Lonchura striata: one gene and its partners. The protein of the gene in region 2 interacts with the protein of the main gene of each other region in a biochemical or structural test. Links are inferred from orthologs where the notes say so. Each region holds a gene or a part of one and is shown on either strand. Other genes may lie near its edges.

Region 1 (7,967 bases), on a different chromosome or scaffold from region 2:
TCTGGGGTTGGAGCCAACAGTACCTACTTTCTGTACCACTAAAATAGCAGACGCAATAAGAATAGCTATAGGTCTAAAATAATCCCAAAATCAGGGATATGAGGAAGCACTGACTGAGAATTAGACACTGATCTGTAAGAAAACATGTAGTGAGGAAGAGCTAATTACCTCTCTTCCACTAGTTGTGTACCTTGCATATTAAACTGGAAGTCCTTCGAGCAGAAATTTTAGCACCTGATTTGCGGAATTTAGTGTATATTGCTGCTTTCAATAACCTCATAATAAAAACTGAAGTCAATCAAGTTCATGTCAATGGAATTGTACTGAAGTTGAGTTAGACTAGTCGTATCAGAACTAAAAATACTGCAAAGCATACCAACTACTTATAGAAAAAGAAAGACAAACCAGCAAGAATGACTGCATACAAGCCTACTCATCCTAATCTCTCCCCAGCATTTTCACTAACTCCACTGGAGAAGGAGTTTTACAATACCAAGCTTACTGGCAAAAAAAAAAAAAAAAAAGAAAAAACTCAACTTAGATTCCACACTTAAAAGAAGCACAAAACTAAGAAAGTTATGAACCTCAAAACACTCCATGCAGCTTAAGCAAAAGGATTGCTTATGCAGGTTCCTGAAAAATCCCATCACATCCACTATCTTAATTAACATGGCAGGTTTTTTTCAGGCTAATTCACTATCTTTAGAAGTGAAGTATGAAGTAAACAAGAGGCCAGTGATAAAACTATATTAGAAAGCAGTTTCAGGAAGAGGACTGATGAACTTAAAAACAGCAACAAAAAAAAAACAAACCACCAGCTCAAAGATAATAAGGTAGCACATAGGTAAACATAAAAATAATGTGTCCAGAGAAACTGAGATAAATTCTCAGTAGAAGCAAAATGGAAATAAGAAAATGCACAAATTCTCTATGATAAAGTGAAGTAAGTGCATGCTAATTTAATTTACAGAATACATTTGTTTGATGTATTCCTTAGAATGTAATCCTTTGAACTTTTTATCTTTTTTATTCATAATATAAAATTATAGTATTTTTACAAAGGAGGCAGAACTAGGCCAGCCCATTTACAATTCCTAGTGATAATACAGGACAATCAATGCCAAAAATAAATCTCCCCCATCTGATTTGTCCTAAATCTTTAATCTCATTAGTTTTGCACACTGATAAAGGATAAAAGAAATCTGAAAGAGGATAAGTTCCTAGGCATGGTAAATTTTATTTAGCCTATTAGGTTACATAACAATAATGATAAAATGTTCTGAAGGGGTAAAACAACTTGTCATACTAAAAGAAGGTGGTTTCACCACCTACCCAATGCTACACAGTCATCAAGAGGAAAATAACCACATGTAGGAGGCACTGTGAGAAGCCTTTCCAAAAGCTCACTGACAGTAACATCTGTATTTCCTATCTCTATTTACAACAGCATTTATAAACTCCAGCACTGTTTCCAAATCACTGTATGGGAATGGTACCAAACTTACTCTGAGAGCTGGCATAAGGAAAGGAGTCTTTTAGTGTATTTTCTAACTAGCATGAGGAGTACAATTAATACTGCAGCATTCTGCACTCCTATCATATTGCTCAAAAGAGCAATATAGTAAGTTAAAAGCCAAAGACAAAACAGTTACAGTTAAACTACACAGGGAATTCGACTGGTGTGAAGAAAGCTGGCAACTCCAGGCCTTGGAGAATACTAAGCTGACTAATGCTACAGCACTGTTGATTCAGCTACCTTTAATACAGCACAATTGCCTGGAAAATTCTTACCAAATTCTTCACATAAATATCTAGACATTTTATGTCTTAACTTCCTTCTACCTGTGTTGATCTTCTTAAAATACTCATGAATGCAAACTCTATGAGATAAGCAAAAATAATACATTATAGCAAAAAAGAAAAATTTCTTAAGTTAGTCTAAGCAAAAGGGTGACAAGCTTCAATGTGACACATACACTGTTAAGTTGCAAAAATATACCAGCATGCAAGCAAATACCCTACTGAATATTAGTCAGTTTTATCATCTACTGTACCATGTGAAGAGATCATGACTAATCACAACAAAAATAAAGAAAGAACACATTTCTATATGAGACAAGGGCTACCACAGCCCTCAGGAGTGCAGTAAACTATCTTGGAAACGACAGCACCGAACTCACAGGGAAATGTCAACTTCATACTGACTTCCCATGACTGCACAAACACACTGAGGCACAGCCTGACACTATAGCACCAATTCAGAGCAAAATCATTTATTTTCAGTTTAGCAATACATTTTAATTCTTTTTGTGCATGTCTAGATCCTTGCAATTACTCGTTAAACTAGCAGATTCAAAACCAAGCTGGGACACATCACTCCATGGGCATGTACAGAGCATGAAAGGAAAGTCAGAATATGCTGTAAACACTTAAAAATGTATCCCTATGCCCTCAAAATTATGAGGTGTAAGCATATTTCTCTAGCTTTCTGGAAAAGAGAGTATTTTGTAAAAGTATTTCTAACAAATTTTTGATAGGATGTAGCTATCAGCCTTTCTTTAGCTCTTGCTAAAGAAAGATAATTTGTATTCCCAAAATAATGCATTATACGAAGTCAAATTCCATTAATCATACTGCTCTTTTATATTCAAGTACTGTCTGAAAATGTCCCATAAAAACATTTTTACATACTTTTTCTTTCAAGAAGATTTTAGATTTTCATAGCCTCTTTTCCTTATTCAGAGTTTGCACAAAAGCAACTCTGAGTAATTAGAGTCACCTAGGTAGACTTCAACTTAAGCAAACATACCAAGCAATAGAAAGCATGCAGATATTCAAGAACACTAAGTCAAGTTTGAACAGGAGATTTTTATTGGATCTATGCCCAAAGAGAGTTAACCATGTATGTCTTTCTATTCAAGGTATCTAAAACATCTATGTCCATATGTATTGTATGCACTATATTTACCATGCATTTTGTAACGACTTTATCACCTAAAGCAATGTTTACTGTATCCCATTTTAATCTTTCCTTTCCCCTCCTAATTGTTCAGGAAAACACACAAAATTTAAAATCAGCACGTGCAAGTAGATTTCATCTCTTCTATGCCACCATAATATTGAAATATCAGCAGGAGCACTGGCAAAAAGGCAATTTCTTATCCACGTGAACTGCAGCACAGGTGGCAAGGAGGGAAATGCTTTAAAAGAGCGACTATATGCCAAGTTTAGTAATTGTACTTACAAGCTATACAGCCACTAATTGTGTCACTAAGAAACACTGTTAAAAGTTTAACCCGAACTTCCTGAGGAATTAATACTGACTGCTTCTGTACCCTTGTGAATGGCACTTAGAATAAGCTACTGCTGCCAGAGACGCGCTCCCTGTACTTTTCTTTAAAATTCATTGCGGAAAAGCACAGATTCAAGGGTCTGGCCGTTGATAAATAATAAACTCTTGACTAAAGCAATGCGATTTTTTCGCAACTGAGAAGGCAGTCTATCCTCTGAACAACGAAGCAACAAGTTTGGCGAGTTACTTTCCCTCCACTACAGGGCTTATCTATTTTTTAGAGTACGTAATTTGATCCAAAAATACACTAATTTCGAAAAACTTTCAGACCCAGGAGATCAGGTTTATTTCTGCGAGAGCGACAGCTCGGGCAAGCGCCTCTACCCCGGCCTGCAGCGCTCGCCTCCCCACCTCCGTCCTCGGCAGCACCTCTGGGGCACTCCCGGAGGCTTCTACGCGCCGGGGAGCAGCTGCGGGGCGGAGATGCGACACTCGGGGCTCGGCCCCTTTCCGGATGGCGGCGCCGTTGTCAGGCAACGGCCGCACAAGCGGCCCCACCGGAGGGCCGGGACCAGCCCGGCCGAGCCGAGCCGAGCCGAGCCCCGCCGGGAGCCCCCACGGGGACCCCCAGACCCAGCGGTGCGCCCCCGCCCCGTCCCGCCGCCCAGCGAACGCCCTTCGCGCCCGCCGCCGCCCGCTCCGGGCTGTGAGCGATGCTGGCGACGGAAGCCCCCGGCGGGGCTGCGAGCAGAGTCCCCGGGCGCCGCGCCGCCCCCGCCCGCTCACCGGTACCGGCAGCCACGGCTCCGTCCGCGCCCCGCGCGTTCCTGCCGGCCGGAACGCGGCGGGCGGCGCCGGCAGCGCCCCCCGCTGCCCCGGAGGGCGGCGCGACCCGGCTGCCGCTCCTCCCGGGCGGGGAAAGGAGCGGAGGGGAGGCGGCACGGGCGGGCTCCCCGGGCTGGGGCGGCGTACGAAGGAGCGCAGCGGGTCACCTGGTCCAACCTCCCCGCTCCGGCAGGGCCACCCTACAGCGCGTGGCGCAGGATTGCATCCACACCGTTCCTGAGTCTCTCCAGCGAGGGACACTCCACAACCTTTCTGGGCAATCTGTTCCAGTGGTCGGTCACCTGCACAGGAAAGCAGTTCTTCCTCATCTTCAGGGCGAATTTCCTATGCAACAGTTTTCTTGCCTCTTGTCCTATTGCTTGACACCTCCCAGCAGAGCGCGGCTGCATCCTCTTGACGTCTTCCACTTTAGACACTTATATACATTGATAATGCCGCTTCTCGGTCGTCTCGAGGCTGAACAGGCCCAGATCCCTCAGCCTTTCCTCGCGAAAGAGACGCTCCCGTCCCTTAAACATCTTTGTTTACTCTCCGCTGGACCCTCTCCAGATGTTCGTGTCTCTCTCGTACTGAGTGGCCCCGAACTGGTCACAGTAATTTAAGAAGCACAAGTCAATAAATAAATGGATATAATAGAAAGGCCTCCGCCCGGCCGGGGTCGCGTTTTTGCGGTGCCGGTTCACGGGGCGAGCGCGCCGGGCGCGGCCGCGTGCAGAGCCGGGCGCGGCCGCAGGGGGCGCAGCGCCGCGCGGCCGGGCCTGCGCGGACCGTACCACCCTGCGAGGTGCCCCCGGCCCGCGCTTGGTTCCGCCGGCGGCCCGGGGCGGCGGTGCGCGGCCGGGAGCGCGGCCGGGCCATGGCGGCGGCGGGCAGCGGCGCCTCCGGGAGCGGGATGGCGCAGAAGACGTGGGAGCTGGCGAACAACATGCAGGAGGCGCAGAGCATCGACGAGATCTACAAGTACGACCGCAAGCAGCAGCAGGAGATCCTGGCGGCCAAGCCCTGGACCAAGGAGTGAGTGGCAGGGGGCGGCAGGGCGGGCGGGCGGTTTGGGCGGTGAGGAGCGGCCTGACGGGATGGCTCTGCCTTCCCTTCCGCGGCCTCTGCCTTGTTGCAGCCACCATTACTTCAAGTACTGCAAGATCTCTGCGCTGGCGCTGCTGAAGATGGTGATGCACGCCAGGTCCGGCGGCAATCTGGAGGTGATGGGGCTCATGCTGGGCAAGGTGGACGGGGAGACGATGATCATCATGGACAGCTTCGCCCTGCCCGTGGAGGGCACCGAGACCCGCGTCAACGCGCAGGCCGCCGCCTACGAGTACATGGCTGCCTACATCGAGAACGCCAAGCAGGTAAGGACAGGTGGCAGGGGGTTCTGACCGCCCCCCGTGGAGATCCTGTGCCTCTTGTGAGCTTCAGGAACATACCTGGGGCGTTCCAGGCTTCCTCCCTCCCCCAGAGAGGAAGTGCCTGCCCGGTTGTCCTGTCTCTCCTCAAACATGGCAGTGAGAACTGTCAGCAGCACGGAACGCAGGGGCCTGTAAACATTTTCACATACATATTTCTCTGACTTACAGTAGGTCATCAGAGGTTGGACACGATGATCTTGGAGGTCTTTTCCAATTTAATGATTCGTTGGAAAGTAGTGCATTCTCCTTCCCTTTGAAAATTACTTTCATTGCTGAGGAAGTGTTCTTATGGCTGCTGGTTGTGCGACATAGTGTGTTTCTAAAACAACCGATACTTCTTTCTAAAAACAGTATGCAGAATTAAATATATGTGTGTGTTGGACTACTTAGTATTTATAGATCAGAATTATGACATTCATTCTTACCTTCTGAGATCTTAGTGTATGGTATGCTGCTCTATTCCATTAAAAAAGACGTTTGTGAAGAAAATGTCAGTGAAGGAATAAGTAAGTTTCAGTGAAAATTAATTATTCATATTTATCATTTGGAAATTTAGATGAACTTGCTTGTCTGTTTTTCGTCTTTGTCACTTTCTATTCAAAGAGCCATGTCATATTAAAGCTGACTATACAGTGCAGTTCTCATGTGCAGAAAGATAACAGAAGTATAACTGTGCTCTGTGGCTGATATGTAAACCAGCACAGAACATCAGAGCACTTCCTGATGTGCTTCTTCCAATACAGGGCAATTCTATGCTAGAAATAAGAGTTGAAATAACTTTAACTCTCCAAGCTCAAAGAGTTTTGATACCCAGTTGACGCATTGATTTTTAAACCAGCTAAAATTAGAAGCCCTTTACATACTAAGTGGATATAACAGAGGAGTATTTGGGTTCTTTTGGAGAGTTGGACTTATGTTCATAGCCATAAATAGAATTGAAGATATGGAAATGGATGTGCATTAGGCTGAATCATAACATCAGCAAACAGTAAACATAATGCAGAGATAATTATGTTCTAGAACTCTTGTTGCAAAAAGTAGGTAACTTGAAGAGATGTCTTTGCCTAAAGATACAGTCATGCTATCTTTAAATAAAGATATATTCATAGAATCCCATTCTTAGGTAGAAATACTGAATTTCAAAGTGGTAAGTATATAGCTTAAAATTATAAACAGCTTGTCTTATGTTTAAAACAGTCCAGGTTTCTGTAGGAGTTCTTATGTGATAGGAAATGTTTATTTCCCCATTGTTTATGTTGTTCAGTTTTGTCTGTAGTTGGTTTCACAATTTTGAAAATGAACTTGTGTGCAAATAAAAGAACTCTACTTTCCTGGTGCTGTGGCAGAGCTTTCATGCTGGCTGTTTCATATTTGATTTTGGCAAGCACTTGTTCCTGGAATATTTCTTTTTATCATTAGGTGCTAGTTAATATGCATCCTCCTATAGAAATGCTTTATAGATGCTGCTGTTCCAGTTAGTTGCTTTTCCATGGACAGGATCTGGCCTTAATGTAGTTTAGATGTATCATTTGGCTTTGAAAAATAACACACGTTCTTTAGTGTTTTGTTGGTGTTTGTCATGCAAGCTGTAAAGAAAATACAAATATTCTTCACCAGTTAAAAAATACAGTAGGCAATTCATGTGTTTTGTCTCATTACCAGAGCAGCCAGTAAACAGTTCCTTAGAGAGGATTACAAAAATGAGGTTCAATGGGTGTTTATTCTCCTCGGTTTTTTTGGCTTTGCTCCTTTCTCTTCCAGTATTTTTAGAGATAGCCAGCTGTATTATTTGGAAACTCCTATTTTGAGGTTTTATCTGAGAAAAAGTTGTCCAAAACTCATAATTTGGCTTTTAAACCGGTCTCCAGGCAATAATTTCTGTCATTTCTGGTGTTTGAAAGCATACCTTTGAAGTAATTTTTTAAACCTACCACTGATCTCATAGTATGTGCCTGTGAGATATGTTACCATACTAAAAAATTAATTCTCTACTGACGTTCCCTACGTTATATGAGGTTATATATACTTGTGTTATATCGCTAAGAAATTTCTCAGCCCTGCTGAGCAGCTGCAGCTCACCATCCAGCTGTGTGGAACCTCTTCTGTACTCCAGCTGTCACTGAAGAAGGAGCCCCAGGCTCCTCGAAGGCCTTTGTTCTGTGGCAGCAGCTGTAGGAGAGAATGCCAGTGCCACTCATTGTACGGTTTCTAGGGAATATTTCCCCACGCGTGGAAATTCCCGTTTATCCTGCCGCGCCTTGCAGTGTGCTGGAAGTGCCGCTGGAGGGCAGGCGGTGCTTTGGGAATGGAGCTGGACGCTGGGGCTGTTTCCCTTCCCTGCTCTTTCTTAGGTCGGACGCCTGGAAAATGCCATCGGCTGGTACCACAGTCACCCCGGCTACGGCTGCTGGCTCTCGGGG
Region 2 (6,822 bases):
CCTTCTTTTACTGCGACTTAAACCTTAACAGTGTTTCTTGGACTGTTTTTAACAACTCAAAACCATATAAAGAGATGGGATTACTGCATTCACCACTGGCTGACGTTCCCCAGAGCTGTTCCCCAGGTGATTTCTAAGCAAATCCTGATGGGGATTTGCTGCTTCACCCCTCTAGAAATTGCTGCTTCCTGAATCCAGCTGTAATGGAAGGGGAGCACAAACTCTACCAGGTCACCAAGCCACTGCCTGGAGAACTACTGAAAGGCTCCTTTATTTTTGGGTGTTGCCAGTGTGCAGATTGGCAGTTCCCAGTTCAACAGGAATAGCAAAGCTTCAGAATCCCTGGAGGTCCCAGTCCAGCAGAAATAGGCTCACTCCCCATGCTGACTGCAACATAACACTGGATACACATGAATCCCAACCAGTCAGACTCTGAACAGATGGAGACACAGCAGCAAAGCCAAACCTGCTGGGTGGCAGCAGCTGCACTAATGCTAAAGCAGCTCCACGAAAGGACACACCAGGATAAAAGAGTATCTGCCCTTGGCTTGCCCTCTGCTTTCAAAAACACAAGCCTCGTTTCCCACACACATTTTTTTTCCCACTCTACATTAACTTCCTCACACGTGTACCTGATGCCTCAGGGTTTAGCTTTTATATTTTTTAGATTCTCTGCTGCTTTAGGGTGTGGGTTTGAGCTTCACATTATGGGATGGTGAGCTCTCTGCACAGAACAGGGAGACAAAACAATTCCTTCTCTAGCTGGGGACCAAGGACAAGTGATCCAAATCTCAGGCCCAAGAGCACAAACAATGTGGGCTGAAGAGAGAAAAACTAGCAGGATGGGACTTCATGGGCTGGAGCTGTAATTGGATAATTAACTCTAATACGCAAATGGAGCAGAACTAAAAGTGAGAGACCCCGAGAGCAGTTGTGCATTTTGTGACCATTTTGGTTCATCTTGGTGTGCAGCCCTGGCTGGGGTCCTGTGCTGCCCAAGGTGGATCCATTGAGGAGATCCTTTTAATAAATCCCTGCTTTATTCTTTAACTCTGTTCTAGACATCATACCCAAAGAGAGAAGCTCCACAGAGCAGGCCTGGTGACAGGAGCAGCGCTACCACGCCCTGTTTGGGTTAGTGGTATCTGGTTTTTACTGAAAGCCAAGCAGGCATTACCTTGCGGAGGTCGCCCCCCGAGCAATACTCCATGGCCAGGAGAGGAACGTCGTTCACCAGGAAGTTCATCTCCTCAGGAACTTCACAGGCTCTGACCACATTGGGATGGTTCAGCCTAAGCACACAGAGAGCTGGATGAAAATTCTCTTGGGAGAATGAGACAACAGCTTGCAATGTAACCACGTTTTATGTTCCAGGGACAGCTTCTGTTCCCCACAGGAATCCTTACTCACTCATCAGCTGGTACCTACCGTACCCAAATGCATAAAACCCATACCTTGGGAATACACAAACCAGTGACGAGCAGAACTGATGTCTCAAATGCAAGGTGCAGGACTTTGGTGATGGGGATCCAAACTCAAGCTGTGAATTCTTGCACCATCCTGGCAGTGTCATTACATGTGTGTGTGTGTATGTAGGAACAGACTCCCCTAGCCCAGTCATTTCACAAAAACCCCATAACACCTGTGTAACTGCACCAGGCAGGTGAAAGCCACATTCAGAGGGAAAAATTAACTTCTGCAGCTGAATTCCAGCTACAGAAACAGCTACTTCCTGACTGTCTCTAATACACGCTAGTCTTGGGAATTAATATATCCAGATGGAAATGAAAGCAAATTATTCCCCTCTACATCTTCCAAAGCCTCTGGACACCAATGCAAGAGCAGCTCATAACTCAGTGGTTGTTTCCAGCACCCAAATCAAACATCACCCAAGCTTTGACTTAAAAATTCGTGTTCCCTGCAAGTGGTTTCCCACGTCATGGCACACAGTGAGCAGGTGAGGGTAACAAAGCGACAGCAGGAGCTCAGAAAAGCCCTGAACACCAGGGTCACTGCAGGCCTTGGGGAGGACAACTCAGAGCATCCCTGCTCCCACCAGTGGGACAGAGGATTTCCTGCTCCAAGATCTCTCTTTCTCTCTCAGGAGCAGTTCTGTGAGACCCAAACACCCAGAGGCAGCCCCCACATCCATGAGACCAAAGCTGTCCAGCCCTGTTTCACCCACTGGAGAGGGAGGCTGGGCAGCACATAGCATGGACTTTCTCACAAGGAAGTGGAAGGAGAATTTATTCTTTACATTCGGCAGCGTGACAGAAAAAAAAGCAATTCCAGGATCCCCTGGTTGCTAAATCAAAACCAAAAGTACCGCACGGTATGGGAACATGTGGGCGTTCCCAAATCACAACATCAGAACTCAACCCACAGGGTGGTGTGAGTTTGGAGGAATTTCGATGGGTGAATAGCCCAGGTGGCACAACAGGGCAGGGGGCTTGGGGATCACCAGCTCCCAGGCCAAGGCAGGAGCTGGGGCACTGGGATGAGGGATAAAGCAGCACAGGCATGCCAGGTGACAAGAGGCCCAGGGGCTGACCCCCGGCTGTCCCCACAGCGCGGTCCCATCTCCGCAGCCGGTCCGGGGCTGACTCCCCGCACTGCCCGCTAGTCCATGGCCTGACCCCCGGCTGGCCCCTCTCCCTGTCGCTGCCGCCGTGCCGAGCCGAGCCGAGCCGTGCCAGCCGGCCCGCACTCACTTCTTCATGATGTCGATCTCGTGGCACCAGCGGTCCTTGTTCTTGACGCTGAGCTCCAGCCGGCACGACTTGATGGCCACGCGGTCGCCCGAGTCCTGCGGGACACAGCGCCGTCAGCCGCCCCGGCCCGGCCGTGCCCCCCCCGCCGCCCGGCCCGGCCCCACCTGGTGCTGGTACAGGCACACGTTGCCGAAGCCGCCGGTGCCCAGGCGGTCGCGCATCTCCCAGGGCCCGCAGCCGCCGGCCGGGTGGCCGCGCAGCGCCGCCCCGGCGGGGGCCCGCTCGCCGGCGGCGGGCGCGGGGGGGCCGGCCCGCTCCATGGCTCAGCCGCTCGCTCCGGCACTCCGCCCTCACTGCCGCGTCACCGGCCGGCGCCGGCAGCGCGCGCAGCGCCGCCTCAGTCGCGGAGGGAGAAGTCGAAGGGCTGGAAGTCGCGGCGGAAGGCGCGCGCCTGCGCCGTCTCCTCGGGCCGCGGGGCGGCGCACTGCCGCCAGTCCGCGCGCTGCGGCTGCGCCAGCAGCGCCTCGCTCGCCAGCACCTCCCTGCAACGACAGCGCCGTGACGTCAGCGCCCGCCGCCGTGACGTCACGGCGGGAGCGGGCGGGCCGGCGCGCACCTGCCGAACTGCAGCGGGAAGCGGCCGCGGATGCGGTGGAACAGCTTCTCCCCCGAGTCCAGCTCCACGTAGAAGTACGGCGTCCCCGGCTGAGCCACCTGTGCCGAGGGAACCACGGAAGCACAGGATCAGCGCGGCTGGGAAACACCTCCATCGAGCCCAGCCTGGGACCCACCACCGCCCTTTAGCTGGACCACGGCGCTGCCACGCCCACTCTGCACCCTAAACACCTCCAGGGTGGCGACTCCACCACCGCCCCAGGCAGCCCCTTCCTGGCCACCCTTCTGAGAGCAGGTGACAGGCAGACCCTCCTCCCGGCCACTTCAGCTATGCCATGCTCTCTTCTGGGAGGAAATTTGGAAAAATAACCCCATAAACTGCCTGAGGTCAGTGCCTCACCTCCAACAATACCTTCCATGGGAGGAAGGAGCAGTGGGTCACTTCCTGGTGGGATCACCTATGACATTTTGTGGTTTAATTCTGCCGTGAGTGACTACATGAGAACCAGGCAGGTCTCGTTGTTCCTAACCTCATCTAGGTCACCCAGCCTACTACATACAATTTTTGGAGGATGAGGCCATGCTCACATTTCTTAGCTGAGAAATCATCTGTTGAACCTGGGAACTTCTCCCAGAGCAGAATCCTGGTACATCCCCAAACCAAGTCGATGAGGTTCTGCCTCCAACAGCTTGGCCCCACCCCACACAGTGACCTCAGAGGGAAACAGCTTAGGCAGGACACAGGGGGAGCAAAGAGGTGAAATCTGGCCCCATACCTGCGCGATATCAGAGTGCTCTGGGATTTCTAACAGCTCAATCTGCTGCTCCTGTGCTTGTGTAATAAAGGCCTCCTTGATGTCTTCAGATGTACAGAGGTCCAGTGGGACAGGGATGACCTGGAGAGGGAGGACATTTCCATAAAAGAAGACGAGACAATGAATTTGCAGAAAGCCATCAGTCCATCACTGGAGCTCATGGGCTCCTCAGTACAGCTCAGCCTCATCACACAAGATAGGGGAGCACCCATCTCTACAGGCTTAAACTTATGAGACATTTTACCCTGTAGGAGCTGGACAGAGCTGAAAACCCCAGGCTTGAAAGTTCTCAGCACAGCCCTCTCCTTTCTCATCTCTGTGGTAGTTCTGATACAGCTCTGATACACTTACAGACCTGCACACACAGAAACCACCATGATAAACCCCAAAATTACTCTTTGTGTTCATCTGGAGTTTATATTCAGTGCAAGTTTATGTTTTCCCAGAGCAACACCCAAACCATACCTGTAGCTGCAGATGCTGACTCCTATAGTTTCTTTCAAATAGGACATATCTCTTTCCCTTGCTTCTGAAAAATTCCTTTAGAGCAGCCTTGTACTTGGTCACTTCTTCCAGCACCTCTGAAGACAAGTCCACCACTGACTGATAGTGCCCAATTGGCAAAATGAGGACGTGGTCAGGAGACAAACCCCCTTTGGCCAGGGCAAGGTAGCACTAGAGTGAAACAACACACACCAGTTACTCACTGTGCTGTAGGAATTCACCCTCTGACTACTCAGTCTGAGTAGCCACAAGTAAAGGAGAGTCTTTTATCTTGCTTATTATGGATTCTTTATTAGCCATTTTATTTTATTTTTACACTGAATTTATTAATCACTAGAAGAATGAGAAAGAGGCAAAGAGACTGCCAAATGACAAAAAAAAAAAATCTTTTGAATGCCAGAGGAATGTTTTCTTTGCAGGGAAGCTGCTGAGTGAACTTCACCAGTGAGGCAGGAATTTCTTATTCTGACACAAAAATCCACTTAAAAATTTGAACTAAACCTGTGGACAAACCTGTCCCTGTAAGTGGATTATGCTATACAGGAGCAGAAAGTGCATATAACAATGATGGACTGAGCTTCAAAGTCAACATCTTGAAGTACATCTTGGACACCTTTTTCATCTCTATAGAACAAAACTGTAACCAGCCACCCCAGAGAGATCTGGCACTGGTGCATCCTGCTCCCAAAGCAAGTTCCAGCTTTTTTCCAGCTGGAAAAGTTTTGCCAGATGGTAAGAGAGGGCTGGGACAGGAAAAAATATTCTGGCACTGGAATCCAGCTCTGCTGCTGGAACAAAACTGGGCCACACTTCACTTTTTTTTAAAAGCTTATGTGCTTGTAGAGGAGATGCAAAGGAACTGAAGGCAAACCCAAGAGCCAGCTGCAAATAAAGTTTGTTTTATGTTTAAAATCGGAGATTGTTATTTTGTTTTGCCATCTCTTAGCATGATTCTGACCTAGCAAAGCCCATGCTGCAGGTACTTACATGTGTGCCAATACTGACAACCAAGTGCTTCTCCACCTCTGGGCTGGCCAGGCAGAACCAGCAGGGCCCCGTGGGCTGAGCTTTGTTGGGAAAGAAATCAAGGATTAGCAGAAGGGATATTTGTCACAACACAGACAACCTGGTATTTTCCAGACACCCTTCCCAGTTTATAAAGTGCTGAAGGTGTCAGAAGGACACAGCTCTGGCCAGGGAAATTCCAGCAAGAAAGGAGGTAGTGGCAGTCAGACCATGCTGACTGCCATTCTCCTGGAATGCTGTAACCTAATGAAGGAGGAGCTTAGTAGTTCCAGGAGTTAATAGCTGCAGCTCACTAATAAGAAAACACCAGCAAATGATAAGCAAACAAATCAAAATGAGGTAAAATTACTGCACAGGTAAAGACAAGGGCAGATGCTGTCAAACACACTTGTCAGTTCTGGTCTATCCATCACACCCAAAACACCTGGATTCACACCCAAACTGTGATACCTGAGCTGAGCTTTTTGGAAGTGCCATATCTGGTTCAGAGGGTAAATGCCATCAGCCCAACCACAACCACCACAGACCCAAAGAGCCTTGAAACTACACTCTTGACCCTTCTTTCACCTACTGAAGCCAATCTTCCCTTGGAAAAGAGGGATCCTTCATCTTCCTGCATTCCCCCAGCAGCTGGCAGTGACAGAGCTCTCTGGCCAGCTGACACCGACAGCTCAACAGCTTGAGGAACAACTTGGAGTGATGTGGTCCATCCAAGGCCTCGAGGGAAGAGCTCAGGAAAAAAGCATCCTCATACTTACGGGGTTTCTTGGCTTGCTTAGGTTGGGAGTCCCCTCCCTCTTTCCTCTCTGAGGGACGTTTCTTTCCCTGATGCTTGTTCAAGTCAAAGAAAAACTGACAAGCTGGTTCTTCCTGTTCAGGAAATGAAAAGTGAATGAGATGTTCAGTTAGAACTGCATCACAGAATGTGACAGGATATACAAGAATTTGGTTTTTTCCAGAATCGTTTAGGTTGGAAAATCCCTGACAGCCCACCCTGTGCCCAGTGCCCACCCTGTCCCCAGCCCAGAGCACTGAGTGCCACTTCCAGCCCTTCCTGGGACACCTCCAGGGATGGGCACTCCAAAGCTCCCTGGAACAGAATGACCTGTCCTCCTAGTAATGCACCTGCTACAGTCAGGGAAAAACTTCAG
Region 3 (7,730 bases), on a different chromosome or scaffold from region 2:
AAAAGTAATATTTACATCTATAATTCAACAGCAGTCAGTTTCCCTTCTCAGGTTCGTTTTGAGGATCAAGAAGGTCTTCCAGCATAAAGAGAAACAGAGAATCTATTTAAAAGGAAGTAACTGTAATACCAAAGAGACTGATAGGGGGACTTTGGAGCAAATATATCTTCTAACTAATAGTAGATCCTTACAGGTAAAGTACAACTAACTGCATTCAAAACCTCCCCATAAAACATTCATTAAATTATACCTTTAAGTTTGCCTCTTAATAAATATCTCGGCAACAGCTGGCCAGACAAATTTAATGAGTATTATTATTACTCGCATATCAATTAGCCTCTCTCCTCCAGCTGAAACAAGTCAATATTAAAATGAGGCCATATAGATGTTTTAAATTTTTTAAACAACTTGATCTAAACTTGATTTAAACTACTTGGTCTAATATGTATTTATTGGTAATACAGCACACTGAGCTACATGAGCATGCATGGGTATTTCTGAAGGACAATCATTGTTAAAGTTGTCATGTATTTTCAAGTGCTCTTACAAGAAACTCAAAGTAGACTCACTGAAATACTGAAGAGAAAAGCTTTTGGCATTCGGTATTTTCTAAGATTTGTTAACATTCCTAGTAAAATAGCACAAAACACTTCCAAGTATTTTAAATTGCATACACACTCAATACACTCACTTGGCCAAATGCAGGTACCTAAAAGTAAGCAAAATTGTCCATGTGAAAAGGCAAAAAAATATATCCACAGCTGCTTTGTCATTGCTGCTGTGGGACCAACTACCAATGATGGATGCAGCATTTCAGCACTGATGCGACACACATTGACCTTCCTGCACCTCCAACACTGAGCCTGACTTCCACTTGCTACCACCTTGAGACTCGACCTCTTTAAACATATTCTGATGCTATTTTTTTTTCTTGAAAGCCATGAAACTTGATATAACTGTATTATCATATACAGTACATTATAATACCATGACTTTATAAAAACAAAGATGGTGCTAATAGTTTTTAAAAAGACAAGGCACTCACTAGAACTTCTACATCATTACCCTTCCCTAAAACATCTACAATTTCCTGCTAATCCTTGTGTAAGTACAGAGCCATTTCTTATCTGGACAATCACACTATAAGAAGTATTTTTACACTGCCCTAGGAACAGGCCAAAATCCATCTGAATTGCTGAGAATAAATATAAACAAGTCATCAGTCTAGGAAACAGTTCTTATTACAGTATTCCTATGGTAATTCAACCTTTAAAAAATATTCCTGAGGTTTGACTGACATAAGATGCGACTAAAAAGAAAACACAAGTCACGTCCAAACAGGAATTATATTTTTATGAGGTTTAAATGATTAGCCAAACTGTAAGGCATCACTAAAATAGGTCCCTGGATGTTTAAACTAAGTTCTTAAACTAGAGTCCGCACCAGATAAAACCTTACAAGAGATCCAGGTGAAATTGTCATCTTCACACCAAAATTAAATGGTCATACTGCAGTGCCTACACACACATACACCAGTAAAACCCAGCGAGTACATGCTAAAGCTGAAATGTGTTTTAAAGTACTTAAACTCCTTCACCACGGGCATAAGTTCGCTTTCAACCTGAGTACTTGCAAACATAAATAGGCAAATAGGCAAAATACTGGTAGTTCAGAAGAAAATGGACTTATCAATTAATACACACAGAAGGCAAAGACAGACTGCAAACACCAGGGCGCTGAGTACAACCACTGAAATTTATCACCTAGACGAAGCCACGACAAAATTACTTTCCCCTATTAAAAGAGTGCGGATATTTATGCTTCAAAGTCTTTCCTCTTGTTACTAAAAGAAATCAGTTCTGCATTATCGCGAGGCAGCAAATTAAAATCTGACTTCGGAGAATTCAGGGGGTGGGGTGGAGGGGGAAGGGGAAAATGAAAACATAATAAAGTCGATTACTCAGTTTTGCAGCAAAGCACTCGGCAGCGCCTGGGGAGCCCGCAAGGCAGGCGCTCAGCCGCCGCCCGCAGCCCGGCCCCGGCCCCGCACCGCGCTCGCTCGCCCCGAGCCCCAATGGCTGCTGACACATCCGGCCCCGGCCGCGCCGCCGCCCCGAGCTCACACTTCAAAGCCTTTCGGGACTCCGGCAGAAGTCGAACACAAACGCACCCCGCAGCCACACGGGCCGCCCCCCGCGGCTCCGCTCCGCGGCTCGGCTCCCGCGCAGCCCCGCACCGCTGACAGCTGCGGGCAGCCCGGCCCGGCCGTGCCCCTCCCTCAGCCCCGGGCCAGGTGTCCCGGGGGAAGGCGGGCGGCGGGCGAGCTCTGCTCGCCGCGCCCCAGCGCTGCGCTCCGCGGCCGCTCCTGCCGCCCCCGCATCCGCCACTTCCCACGGCCGGGGGGAACGGGGCGGCGGAGCCCGCCCCGAGCCCCGTCCGCGAGAACAGCCCCGACGCCGCCGCTGTCACACAGCGCCCTCCAGGACCGACCCTCGCCGCCCCTCCAGCCGCCGGCGCCCCTCACCTCGCGGCGGGGGACGGCTCCATCCTCCGCTCCGCGGCGGCGCCCGTCCCCGCCGGCAGCGGCTCCAGGAGCTCGGCGCAGCGGCTGGGGGAGGCAGCCGGACTGGCGGGGCTGGAGCGCGGCGGCCCGGGCAGGTAGTGGAGCAGCAGCAGCGTCTCAGGGGGCTCCGGCGAGGAGGAGGAGGAAGAGGACGAGGCGGCCGGGGCGGCGGCGAGGAAGAGGGGCGCCTCCGGCAGCCGGTCCAGCTCCACGCTCCGCACTTTGCGCAGCTGCTTCCGTCTCCAGTCAGAGCGCTGTTCTCGGCTGCCGCCGCCCGCCTCCCGCAAGAGTCCCCCGCCGCTCCCGGCGACGCTCCCGGCCACCGCGCCGCCTTTCAGGCTCCCGCAGGCGGCGGCGGCGGCCGCCTCCACGCCGCCGCCCGAGGATAATCCCGATGACGAGGCGCGATCCCCCGCCGCCGCCGCCATTTTCTCTGTCGGGTCACATCGGGCTCCCGAGCACCGGGGGCCGCCGGCGGACGGCGCGCTGCGCAAACGGCGCCGCCTGCGCAAACGGCGTAGGGCGGGGGCGGACGGCGGGCGCGGATTGGCGGCGGCGGGCGCCGGGGGCGGGGCCGCGCCCGTAGGTGCCGCGGGGCCGCGCCCCGTCCGCCCCCGCGCAGGTGTCGGGGCGGGACCCGGGCGGGAGCCGCGCCTGCCGCCGCCGCTGCTCCGCGGGGCTGGGGCCGGGCCTGCGGCCGGGTCTGGAGCCGGACGGAGTCCGTCCGTGCGGCCGAGCCAAGCCAGGGAGCCGGTGGAGGCGCCAAGAGGGGAGCGCGGCCCCGCCCCACGCGGCCCTCCCCACGTGCGGGAGCGGCGGAGGCTCCGGCAGCCCCGGGGCGCGCACGGCCGGCCGGGCGGGCTGAGCTCCGTGCGAGGCCGGAGAAGCCTTTCCCGGATCTCGGAGCCCTCCCATCTCGCACCCCCGTAATCTGAGCCTCTCCTCTCGCCAGCATTTCCCCAGCAGCTGGCGAGGGGCCGGGAGGAGCGGAGCGCCCGCGGTGCCTCGCTGCGTACAGCCGATGAATCGCCTCACAAGTGTGCCCCAGCTCACCTGGGCGTCCCTCTCTGCAGTCAGGAGGGAATCAAATGCACATCCTCGCTCGTAGCCACCGCGCGTCCTTCTCCGGGCTGCCCTCAGTTGGCCGGCGCCGCTCCCCCCGTCCTCAGGTACTTCTCCATGTCTGCAAACTTCGGAGAAGCGTTAATGTCTCCTTGTGTGCGCAGGCATGCACATGTAGGAAAGGTTATACCCTGCCACGCACACCTACCGCTGCGGCTGTTTCCTGAGAGACTGCGAGAGAGAAGAAAGGCAGGAGACATCACATGACCAGAAACTTGGGGAGGTTCAAGTAAATTTTCTACTTGTCGGGATTTTCGCTCAACCACATTGGGGTGGTTTTGCTTTTAGATCTGAGATGAGAAAAGGAAAACTGAATATTGCTATGCATACAAGCTTGGTTTTGGGACGGTGTGGTTTTTAGATAAAGTAGAAGTCACATTTTAAAGCACTTTAGCTGAATATTTCAAGCGTATTTTTCAGAATTTGGTGGGTATGCAAGTGTAACATTAACTACGCGTATCAGTAATGATTATTAGTATGGTCAGTTTCCTGGGATCAGTGATTTGATCTGAAGCACTAGTTGAGTGAGAATTACCTTCTAGCAGAAGCAGATTCTTTCTTGCGTTACCTATATGATCAGAAGCTGACCTAAATGTAGGGTCTTTGCTGGAGGATGTGATGAGCAGATAGGAAGAGGTTTTTCCCGTTAGACAAAAGCCTGAGGACACTTTTTGTACTCTGTATACTTAGAGAATAATATCAGTAGGTAAGGCCTTGAGGTCACACTGAGTGAATCATTTAGGTGATCTGTCAAGATGCCACACTACAACCATCCTTGTGCAAGGTTTTCAGTGAAGAGTGCTGTGAGAAGGTCAGTTGTATTCCTTGTCATCTTGCAGGTATAGTTTCTTTGGGATAAGCAGACCATCATCTAATATTCTCTTGCAATTTACAACTAATGGTTGTACAGCTAATGTACAACTTGTAATGTAAATTAATTCATAAAGGTAGCATTTGACACTTAAAGCCTCTGCTGTAAATTAGAGAGAGTATTCTGGAAGATTCCTAGACCAAGACACATTGAAAAAGTGAGGAGGTTACTCATGGGAACAAGATAACAAAGTATCCACTTTGTAGACACAGCATGAAATTAGTTACATGCAAATCAGTGCATTATTATAGTTTTTCAAATATTCCTCTCTGCCATAAAATCACATTTACAGAAAAAAGAAAGAAAATAACCACACAAACCCCTATGCTTTTAAAGACATCTAAACAGAACAAAATGACTAGGTATTTTATAAATGCTCTTAAAATGGAAGAGGAATATTCCTTTGAATAGCAATTGGTCAGAATATAATACAGAGGAGAAGCAGCATATCTTCAATAAAATTAAATCTAGGAGGTAAGGGTATATACACAATGTGTATGACAGTTCTAGGGGACATCTCTCTCAGGGTGTCAAGACTCCAACAAGGGAGAAGGAAACAGAAAATTCAAGGAAAATGTCAGAGTGGCAGTGGGGTACTGAGGAATTCTACACTGTGGTGTATCTGCATGTACACTGAGGTGAAATGTTTTATGGAAAGCAGCTAAGAACAGGGCAAAATATAAAATTCAGGGACAGTGAGAGGCACCACTGTAAGAAACAGCTAAAAGGAGACAGGTGCTGTCACCATTCCTTTTAAGGCATTACTTTGCCTTTTGAGTAAGGCCAGTGCTGTCAAGGTTTTGCATTACTTCTGGATAAGATGCAAAGTGGAAAACTTACTATTCTTCATTAAAAAGTGCATTGTTGTTTATCCTTTGACTAGTGGCTGAATTTCAATTCAAATAAATTACATTCTGCCTATAGTGCCTATAGTCACTTTATTTATTTTCAAAAGTGTGTTTCTCCACAGTGCTGTGACCAGAGAAGGAAACATAATGGATAACAAGACCCGTCTTCCATTCCTCACTCTAGAACACTCTGTAGTGCAGTGCTGACATGAAACACAGATTTATGCACAATATAAAGGCTCTACCACTTTGAAATCAGAAATTGAACATGCTGGTTGACATCTGTGTTTTCTCATTTGCTCTTAAAATTTTTTTTGCACTTAAATAAACAAGCTGACCTGATTGAAAAAAAGTACAAAACTTGCTTAAGAGCTCTGAAAGATACTCAGTTACCTCTTGCACAGATTATTTCTCATTCTATCTAAAACACAGCTCTAGAAGGTAACCTGAGACTTTTAGCAGTTTTTAGTCACAAGTAACAGCACTCAGGGTTTGTTATGAAACAGAGGCCTTTGGCCTCAAATTAGCATCGTGCAATATTTGGAACATCTACCGTTGTACACAAAGAAACTTCTGTTTGGGAACACACTAAGATTTTGCAAGCCAAGGAGTTTCCTTGTTGCACAAAACTTGTAACAGTGTAATGAATAGTCAACAATTTTCAACATGCTAGAGATAGGAATCTGCTGTGCCCCTGAATATATAACCTAGGCATCATCATGCACAAACAGAATAAATATGAGAGATAATACAGTCCATAGCTTCTGGTCTTGACTAAACATGCAAAAAGTGCTTTAATACTGTATACAAACTGGATTCTCCCTGTCTTGTTAGTCTGTGTAGAAAGACTTATCCCCACCTTGATCTTCTATTCATTCTTTCCGTTGTGAGAAAGGGAAAACAAACCTGCTCTTAAGCCAAAATCCTTTCCTGTTTACTCCTCTGTGTAATGGAAAAGTCAAGCAACTAAATGAGAACCAATCTGAGGATCTTTTCATACTACTTTCCTAGGTACTACTGAAATCTGCCGGCATTGCTGTTTTCTGTAGTAATGCTTTGCCATCTTTCTGATGCCATTCTTACTTTATAACATAACAGGTGTACCTTATAACATAACAGGTATCCTTCAGAAAAGCAGGATCCTGTACCACTTCTCAGGAGAGAGAATGTCAAGTAAAACTGGAATCTGTTACAGAAAATTATAGGGGCTTTTGCTCACACACTGGGAATGTCTAGTCTGCTGCTATTTATAAATTTATTTCCTTAATGTTTTACTTATGCTTTTCATTATTATTTTAATGGAAAACACCTTTAAAGATTTTTTTTTCCCCTCACAATTCAGTCCATATGGAACAGAACTTTTGTTAAAAAATTTTTTTGGATCCATGAAACTGAGGGTGATGTTTTGACCTAAGTTTCAGACACATAGTATAAGGAAAGAGCTGTACTTAAATCTTCTTGTTCTCCCAAAGCATGTAATAACAGTTCCCAGATTATTTTTAAGAAACAGTGGTGATGATGCTACTTACAACACTCCTGCATTGTCTAGTTACATTCCTTACACTTAACAATTTTTTTTGCTGTAGCATTTACACATGAACTGGTGAACTTTTTGGTCTATCTACCATATGATCCAAAACAAAAAGGTTATCTCTTCCCAAAGAGTTTGTAATTTAAGTTTGTCTTTTAAGAAAGACAAACAGGCAACAGAGCAATCAGCAAACTAGAGTGTAGTCCTTGTACAGTATATCTGCTGCCTTGATTTTTTTTTATCACTAGTTTGTACATATTGCACTAACTACTGAAATCAGTTCCATTTTTGATGTCAGATAGTCTTTAGAATATTGATAGCTTGACGTCTAACTTAGATATTCTTCTTGGCTGTACTACAGAGGATTTTTCTGGCCTTGAATAAGTCATGATCCTTTCATGGTTCAATTTTTCCCAGCTGTAACTGTGTAACAAATATATTTACCTACCTAAGGCATGACACAAGGCTGAGGGATATAATATTATTGAGTTTCAGGATGAATCCTTGCTCAAAATAAATGTATTAATGAATGAACAAAACCTGTTAAACCTCTTCTCATGCATCATTTACAAAGAACTACTGAAATTATTGCAGCCATAAGCTATTTTTCTTATACTCTTCCAGACTAGTAAAATGACAGCACCTGGGTGATAGTTCTCACCTGGATCAACAATTCCATCTATTGAAAACACCACTATCTGTTCTCTCTTTGGGGGAAAGCAACTCTATGATTTCAGACTCAGAAAAACAGTGATAGCTCAATTTTCCTTCACCCTGCTGCTACCAGTGTTAAAT
Region 4 (7,829 bases), on a different chromosome or scaffold from region 2:
TATGGCAGAAGAAACCCCTTCCCTATATATTTGTACAATGCTTAGCTATCTGGAATTTTCCTTGCACTGCAGCAATAAAACAGCAGCAATATAAATCAAGTTAGCTAAATTTAACTTTCTATACTGTGTTAACATCGGTCCTACTCAGTACACCTGACCCAAAGTGACCTCATAGATTGAACTGAGCATGTATTTCATGAAAGTGACAAAAGAAAGTGATAATGACAACAAACAGCTGCTTTTGTTTGCATTAGCTAACTGGGTGAAACACTGCTGAAGAACTAAAGCCACAGTTGTGTAATGAGAAGAACATATGTCCCTTGGGAAAACAACTGGGCACCTGAACTAGGTTCTGATGGATGTAATCAGATAGAAGTCAAAAGTATGTATCATTCAGATATGCAAAATACTATGAAGAGAACCCAATCATCTCATATATTAAATAATGACTAGAGCACAGGATATTAATCATAACATGGGGAGGTGGGAAGAGAAGGGAGTGCATGCAGTGGACTGGTAAGACCTGCTGCCAGTGAACTCAAATGGCAGAAACCCATCCCTCTACTTCAGTGGCTGGTCAAGGTGTTGTATAGCTGAGTGGCAATAAGTGAATCACTCACAATCTGAATTAGGCCCAGATTCTGAAGACCTGACTGGCAGTTCATTAGATTTATTACCAGACAGCACAGCTCCTGACTGTAACAGCACTTGCTGGAGCAGTTTGCTTTGGGCTCTAATCTGCATGAACTCCACATTGCTACAGTGCTACACTAATGGTTCTCTGAATGGTTTCTACAAACACAACCATTTCTATTCTGTCAATACATGCACATACTCTTGTACAGTGTTATTCTGCTCGGCCACTAAACCTGGGCTGCCAAGTAGGACCAGCCTAGGCCACACTTTTGGAAGAGAATGTATGTTCTGCATGAAGCAGCTTCAATGCTCTGATGAACTGGTCAGCTCACAACTTCTCACAGTGGTCTGGGTAGCTCCATTGAGAGCAGCTACCTTGCAGCAAGTTCACAGAGAATCTATAAACCACCACTTTTGGAGTAATCATCTGCCAGTGGAAAAGAAAAGAAGGAAGAAGGCATAGCATTACACAGACAAATTAAGGGAAGGCTAGGCTAACCATTCCAAAAATTATATATATCAAATTGCCTTCTCTACTTGGCTCTTTCAATGTCCTTTAGGAAGTGATACCCTATCATGTATGACAGTTGTAAGTAAATGTTGAGCAGTGTTCCCTTTCTTGTTTACTTCTAGCTCTCTCCAAAGGCTCCCTTTTCTCTGATAATTATACCCATCAGCCATATCTACAGCTTCATGGTTCTCTTATTTAAGTCTACTAACTCCCCAGTACCTGTCCCCCAGTAGTTATTCACTACTGAAAACTCCTGCCTTCAGCTCTGGCAGTCTTACCCAAAACATCAGAAATTTAGTCTTTCAGCAGAGATACATGCCTAAACTACAGTGGGGTTAATATGAGATCCCATGTCTGATTTGTGGCTCTGGAGGAAGCAAGTAAGAGGTACATTTGGGATGTGGCCTATGTAATTACAGGAGCCACCACACTGTTCAGAGCCTTGCAGGGTGTTGCTCTGATGAAGTATGTGATGAATTGCAGCCAGTTCAACATCCAACAAAAATGACAGAGATGATACAAAGTACTTCTCATGAATGCTGCAACATAGGGATTCAGCAGCACCATTAAACTCTACACCCTGCTAGCTGCAGTTCAAATGGTTGGCTTTGCAAATGTACATTGGCTATTTAGAATATTTTTTTCAAATATAGTTTCTATTGTCAACTTCATTAGGTCTTCATATATAGTCTCAGAAAGATGACACCATCTTTAAAATACAACTTTTTTTTTATTTTTTTAACATATTTTCTTCCTGTGATAGTGGTGGATTCAAGCTACAGGAGACAATGGCAATGCCAACAGCAAATATTGGCTAAACACTGACAACTTCTACGAGACTGAAGTGTGTTAAGATAATCATTGGCTACTATGTAAGGCAAATCAGTTTTTAAGTTAGCAGTTCTGGATTATCTGGATGAGAAAGAAATAATGGATTGACCAGAAATAGATTTGGATAGTATGGCATAGTAGCTCAATGAAGATGGGCAGTTGAAAGCTTTAAAAGGAAGTGTCTCTCAGTAGCTATTTTAAACTTTCCTTTACCTTTTCCTGCTTTAGCCTCAAACCTACTACGTCAAAAGGAATGAAAAGAGCCTATCCTGATTCCAATACATGCGTCAGAAACAGAAGACAAATAATGTAAGAAACTTTCATGAGTTTTTCCAATCCAGACATATCAATTAAAGACTGATTATTTTAAAAAATCTCTGCTTGTCTTAGATGTTTATCTATCATTAGTTACATGATTAAAAAATACTGAGGCCAAAGATTTCTGACCTTGGAAAGAGATCTGTATATCTGGAGTCCCAGAGCAAACCAAGCAGAGAAGAGGCTCAGCTTCTAAATTACATCTGCATATCAGGAAACTTAAATGTCCCCCACCTGACTGAGGTGAAACAGCCTGGTTAAGCGTACAGCTAGAAAGCCTTTCCTTCAGTGCACCTGCCCAGCCGCCAGAGACATGGCTGCAACCATTTCACAGTGGTTCAACAGCTCAACAGCAGGCATTTGCTCCTTTGGGTTCAGGTGTGATCACCTGCTCCTCATCTCTGGGCTGAGATTGTCCAGCTACTGAAATAACTTGATGGTAATAGTGGAAACCAGTGTTATTCAGGAAACAGGCAGCACTTCATCACTGCGAACCACTGAGCCTGTATTATCTGCCCGATTTCCTCAGTGGTTGGAGCAGAATTATTTGGCTCTTCAAGTGGGAATCCTGGGCTATAAAGCAGTACATTTATCTAGAGTGTTCTGTGAAGATAATTTTACCAAAGTGTGGGCTTACAGCCTGGCACTACTGTGGGTGTCAGTAGAAATAACACTTCAGCTATGGTATTAAGCTCTAAAAAAGGCAAATTTATGCTTTAAATATAATTGAGAAGAGGATTTTATTTTTGTGGATTTTTGTGGAAGCTGCTTAAGATTTCACAGGGAAAGCTAAGCCTGAGTACTTAAATGCATGTCCTTTTAAAATAAATCCACCAGGTAAGTCTCCTTAAGTTTTGGAATTTATCCACCTTGTCTGATTTCCTGGTACTTGTTCATACATGTTTTGCCCTGTGAGCACACCTTTGATTAGGTATGACATGGCACCTTTCCTTCCAAACGAATCTTATTTTGAAACATCTTTGTATTTAAAATCCATCTAGACTTCCTCCTTCAAGGGCTTTGGGACACAATTCTTTCCTCACAATTCTTTCCTATTAATTCAATGCATTTTCTTCCATTAAAAAAAAAATAATATTGGTCTTGAATATCCCCATATAATAAGGAAAACATGTTTTACTCGGAAATGCTGAGTCATTCTCAGCTCCCAGTATGTACTGGGAAGAGAATGGGGGACTGCATTGTTAGAATTGCATCACAGAGCATGAGTGGCAATCCAAAAAAAGGAAATTACTCCCTCTTCCTATATATTTATGTCTAACATGTAGAAAATGTCATTTTTCAAGACAGCAAAGAAAATCCCTTTCATCTCCGAGCTCTCTTTTGCATTCTCAGCTCTCATTTTAAATAGTGTCTCTCTGCTCCAACACAGAGATGTGACACAAAATGTAACATCTGAATCTACTCCCTTTCTGGTAAAAATACCCCTTTCATTTTGTTCCAATCAACAGGTGGCTTATGATTGGCCTCTCTTCCTTTTGAACATATTTTTGCTCTAGGTTACAATTACTTGCTTCAACACAAAAAAAGCAACAGTCATATTCCTTGGTTCCTTTATATGTTTGAGGTTTTAAATTCTTATTTTAAGCTATGATTTTTGTTAATCTCATTCATGAAGCCCCATGTTATGTGGCCTTAGCATAACAAAACTCCGCAGAGGCGTGCTGCTGACTTTCTGCACAAACACACATTCAGAGAGCTATGCTGGATGCTCATTTGAGACACTCGTCACCCTTAGCAAACCAGACGTTTTAAGATTTAGCATAAAAATATTTGAACTTGTTTTACATAGTATTTGTGCCAATTAAACGTGGCTCTAGCTGCCTTGCTTCAGCCTTGGTTAAATGTGTCTGGGAGACTTGATTACCATGCTGCAAACCTGGATTCTGGTATTAAAATCACATTATTGATGGTTGGCACTGTTCAACAGAAGCCAAGTTACCTGGGAGCCTGCTCTGTCAGAAACTGTGTAAGCCTACACACAAATGGTGCCGTGCAGCCCGTACTCCCTGCCCAGCGGCGGCAGGCATCGGGCGGCAAGAGTCGGAAAATTTCCTTTAATGAACTGCCTGGGAAAGCCAGCTAGCAGCCAGGCGCTGCGGCAGGGGGGTTAAATTCACCCCATGCAGAGTCTCTCTCTCGCCTTCCAAACTTTATATCTAGAGGTCAAAAAAACTTCGGCAGCCACCGGGTCGGGCCCGTATCCACAGAGATGTCGCGAATTCCGCCGTGGTCCAAGGAGCGTGGGCAAGGACGGGATGATTCTTGCGGCGGCGTAACTGCCCTGGGATGAAAGGACCCGCGTGTTTACGCGGTTTCACCCGGGCGGTGAGCCCGTCCCCGGCTCGGGGACCTCGTGGCCAGCGGGCGGCTCGGTACAAGCGCGCCCCGGCCCCTTCCCTGCCGCGGCCGCGCCTCCTCCCGCCCCGCCCGCGCGGCCCTCCGCGCTGCCGGAGCGTCAGCGGGAATTTCCAGCAGGAAGTGCGGCGGGCCGGCGGCAGGGGCGGAGGCTGCGCAGGCCGGTGCCGGGCGGGCGCCCTCGCCGGTGGGGCGGGCGGAAAGGAGGGGGGACTCCGCGCGGAGCCGGGCGGCGGCACGCCGGGTTACATGGCGCGGCGCTGAGGGACCGCCGGCGGCACAGCACGACGAGGAGGAGGCGCCGCCAGCTCTGCTCCGGTGAGCCCCGGGCGGCCCCGGCCCGCACTCGCTGCCTTCCTTCTCCCCTGTCTCCGCGTCCTCGCCGGCGGGAGCGGGCATTCCGCTGGGCTGGGGCAGGGATTGCGCGGCTCTCGCCTGCAGCCAGCCCGGGGAGGCGGCGGGATGCCGGCTTTGCTGCTGCTGCTGGGTTACCGGGCTCTTCCTGGCGAGGGAAGGGGTGCCCGTGACAGCAAAGTGAAAAAAACTTGCAAGCCCAGCTTCTGCCGCTCGCGTAGCGGGTGCTCGTAGGCAAAGGAGGCGCTGCTTTTGTCGCTTTTGGTTTCGAAGGTGACACACGGACGCGCTGAGCCTGGGACGCGGCCGGGGCACAGTCGCCGGCCGGGCTCAGGAGTGCAGGTGGGCACCACGGAAACGTGGGCTGGTTCTGGCAGCTCTGGTGAGCTGGTCTTGGCTGCTGCCCCAGAGTGCCGCAGACTGATTTAGGAGGTACGAAATAGTGAGGTTTTTAAACGTAACGTAGTTGCAAGTGGTGAAACCCAAAAGTTCTCGTCGCGACCGGGAGTGTTATTGCAGTGATTACTCAGTTACATTTGACCTTGAAACCCAAGAATATCGAACTTCTCATCATCGCAATTATTTTTTCATCTCTTGGTGCTTTCTGCTTTGGTGAAGGAGAGCTGCTGACTTATTTTACGTGAATGTGAATCGGAGTATTGTTTCTGTGACATGAGGTATGTGCTCTTGGGCCGTTATCATCATGTGTACTGCTGCGTATTTTCAAAATAAGTAAATCTCAGTGCCTGTGAGCATTTGGGGAATAAGACTTTGGAGGCAAGGGATCATCTGCTGCATTTCAACTTCCTGTCTTAAAATGCTCAAAATCTTCGCTTAAGAATAATGTTTTAAAGGAAATACATATTATTTGTTATCAAGATATTTTAAAATAGTTCTAAAATGATGATCATATTTGGCATGTTTCGTGCTCCAGAAGTCCTCTTTTCACTTACTCTGTTCACAGAGAAAAGTGGATGAATTCTTTGCCGTATTGCCTTGTGCCTTACATGCTGCAGGGTGTTACCACCAGCACTGTCAAGCTCACAGAACAGGGCTGAAAATAGAGCACTTCGATTTTATTGACATCTGGAGTCTCTCTGCTGTGGACTGTGTAGTATCAACTTTTGAAATAGTATTTCAGTCAAAGCACTTGTGTTCTTTCATGAAAGAAAGTAGCTGCCCGTTCTAGGAAAGCGTTAACCAAGACGTCATTCTAAGATAGCATCTTGTCAGCAATGTTTTGTAATCTACAGAAATGGCTACAGTTTATGAGAAAATGAAAGAGAAAAACGTAGTCTGTAACCATCCAGAAACAGATTCTCTGTTCCGTAATTTTCCCTGGCCTGAGAATTTAACTAACAGTTACGCAGAAATACTATTGTCAGGATGTGCCACAGTGCATGGAGATTTCGGGGAACCTCAGTGCTGAAATCTATGCAAGACATGTTAAAGAACTTAATTTGAAATACAAAACAGAAGGGAAAAAGCTTTCTTTCCACCCTTTGTCCCCTTTATAAAGAAAGAAATGTCAGTCAGTGGTAGAGTCATCAAAAAATGTAGTTACTGTCTCGTGCAAGAAATGAATACATTTTGAGTTAAAATTATAAAACAGAGCAGCTTTATATCACTTTGCATTGTGTCGTGTGTTTTTAAAAAACAGGTTTGTAACAGATAAATTAACTATCTGTATTCACTTTGTTCCGGCAACACCTCAGTAGTGGTTTGGTAGTATTTATTTTGAAATCAGAAAAGTCTGCTGGATAAAAGTGTTGGGACAGAGAAAAGGAGTAAGAGGGAGACAGGGTCGAAAGCAGACACTGGTGTTTCATTTATGTGCACGTTTGATGATATCCTGCTTCATTTGTTCAAAAATAGCAGTGCTGGTTACTTCTCTGTTACTACGTATTTTACTTTTGAAAATTAATTTAAACAATAAATGTAAGTTTTCTTTAAAATTTTACTTCTAAAAATTCAATAATAAATTTAGTTTACTTTTTTTCCTTGAGGTGGCATTATGTGACTTCAATAATAGATACCTGCAAATAAATATCATTGATGCAAATTTGCTAATTAATAGATTTTTGAGGTTCCTTTTCATTGCTGCCTTTTCCAAAACCTTCCCATGCCACTTTCTCATGAGTACATGCAACCAATACATGCAAAGATATATGTTCTGTTAGGAATTCATATTATTGTGCATATTGCTGACTCTGGAAAGATGGGAACTAAGTTTGAAGGCCTGTGAGTCTTTACTATCAGAGGTGCTTGTAATGCAAAGTAGATTTCATTTTTGAAGTTGCAAAGATACAGCGAGAGAAAATGTATCTTTTACTAGCTTACTGTTGGTTTTTTGGTATAGCTAGTGATGAGAAAATCCACCTGTGGTCCTCAGAGATGCTGATTAATTCTACTGTGTTTTCACAGATCGCTCCAAACTACTTGCTGAAATACTTTCACCTTTCACTGCTGTGTTTGCCAACTCTAAGTACAAGAGTATCAGTCATAAATAAAATTACTTGTTTATGTAAGCAACTAATGAAAGCTCTACAGTTAGTTAAAAATCCTTTCTTTCAACGTACTGATAGCTTTCTTTTGGTTCTCTGACAAAATAACACAGCTATTATAAAACAAAGAGAAGATAATGAATGGTTCAGGCAGGTAATGAAAAGGGCAATTCCTGGTTTTGGTCACTTTTAGCTCTGACAGAGGTATTTTAGAAGTGGAAGTTGTAATTTGATGTCCTTTAAAATAAGCTGTGAACCTTTTATGAAGTTCTGTGTTGATAAGATCATAATTATGGTTG

The links.
Region 1: of the proteins of CHUK (region 2) and COPS5, one has a biochemical effect on the other in vitro, tested with the Homo sapiens proteins (2 studies listed by BioGRID). The link is inferred for Lonchura striata from reciprocal best matches to the Homo sapiens genes CHUK and COPS5.
Region 3: of the proteins of CHUK (region 2) and MAP3K1, one has a biochemical effect on the other in vitro, tested with the Homo sapiens proteins (3 studies listed by BioGRID). The link is inferred for Lonchura striata from reciprocal best matches to the Homo sapiens genes CHUK and MAP3K1.
Region 4: of the proteins of CHUK (region 2) and NFKB1, one has a biochemical effect on the other in vitro, tested with the Homo sapiens proteins (3 studies listed by BioGRID and IntAct). The link is inferred for Lonchura striata from reciprocal best matches to the Homo sapiens genes CHUK and NFKB1.

What each region holds. Positions count from the first base shown.
Region 1 is NC_134603.1:34,859,629-34,867,595, forward strand, and holds the start of COPS5 (COP9 signalosome complex subunit 5), read left to right. Parts: upstream 1-4,961; 5' UTR 4,962-4,994; coding exon 4,995-5,152; intron 5,153-5,255; coding exon 5,256-5,490; intron 5,491-7,898; coding exon 7,899-7,967. UniProt on the Homo sapiens protein: Probable protease subunit of the COP9 signalosome complex (CSN), a complex involved in various cellular and developmental processes.
Region 2 is NC_134609.1:37,312,720-37,319,541, reverse strand, and holds the start of CHUK (inhibitor of nuclear factor kappa-B kinase subunit alpha), read right to left. Parts: upstream 3,006-6,822; 5' UTR 2,933-3,005; coding exon 2,876-2,932; intron 2,807-2,875; coding exon 2,712-2,806; intron 1,293-2,711; coding exon 1,178-1,292; intron 1-1,177. Other genes in the region: CWF19L1 (CWF19-like protein 1), read right to left, coding at 3,109-3,253, 3,328-3,425, 4,103-4,222, 4,607-4,816, 5,633-5,712, 6,430-6,541.
Region 3 is NC_134642.1:31,200,081-31,207,810, forward strand, and holds the start of MAP3K1 (mitogen-activated protein kinase kinase kinase 1), read right to left. Parts: upstream 3,007-7,730; 5' UTR 2,992-3,006; coding exon 2,525-2,991; intron 2,152-2,524; exon of another isoform or gene 2,124-2,151; intron 1-2,123. UniProt on the Homo sapiens protein: Component of a protein kinase signal transduction cascade. Activates the ERK and JNK kinase pathways by phosphorylation of MAP2K1 and MAP2K4. May phosphorylate the MAPK8/JNK1 kinase.
Region 4 is NC_134606.1:48,747,446-48,755,274, reverse strand, and holds the start of NFKB1 (nuclear factor NF-kappa-B p105 subunit), read left to right. Parts: upstream 1-4,823; 5' UTR 4,824-4,990; intron 4,991-7,829.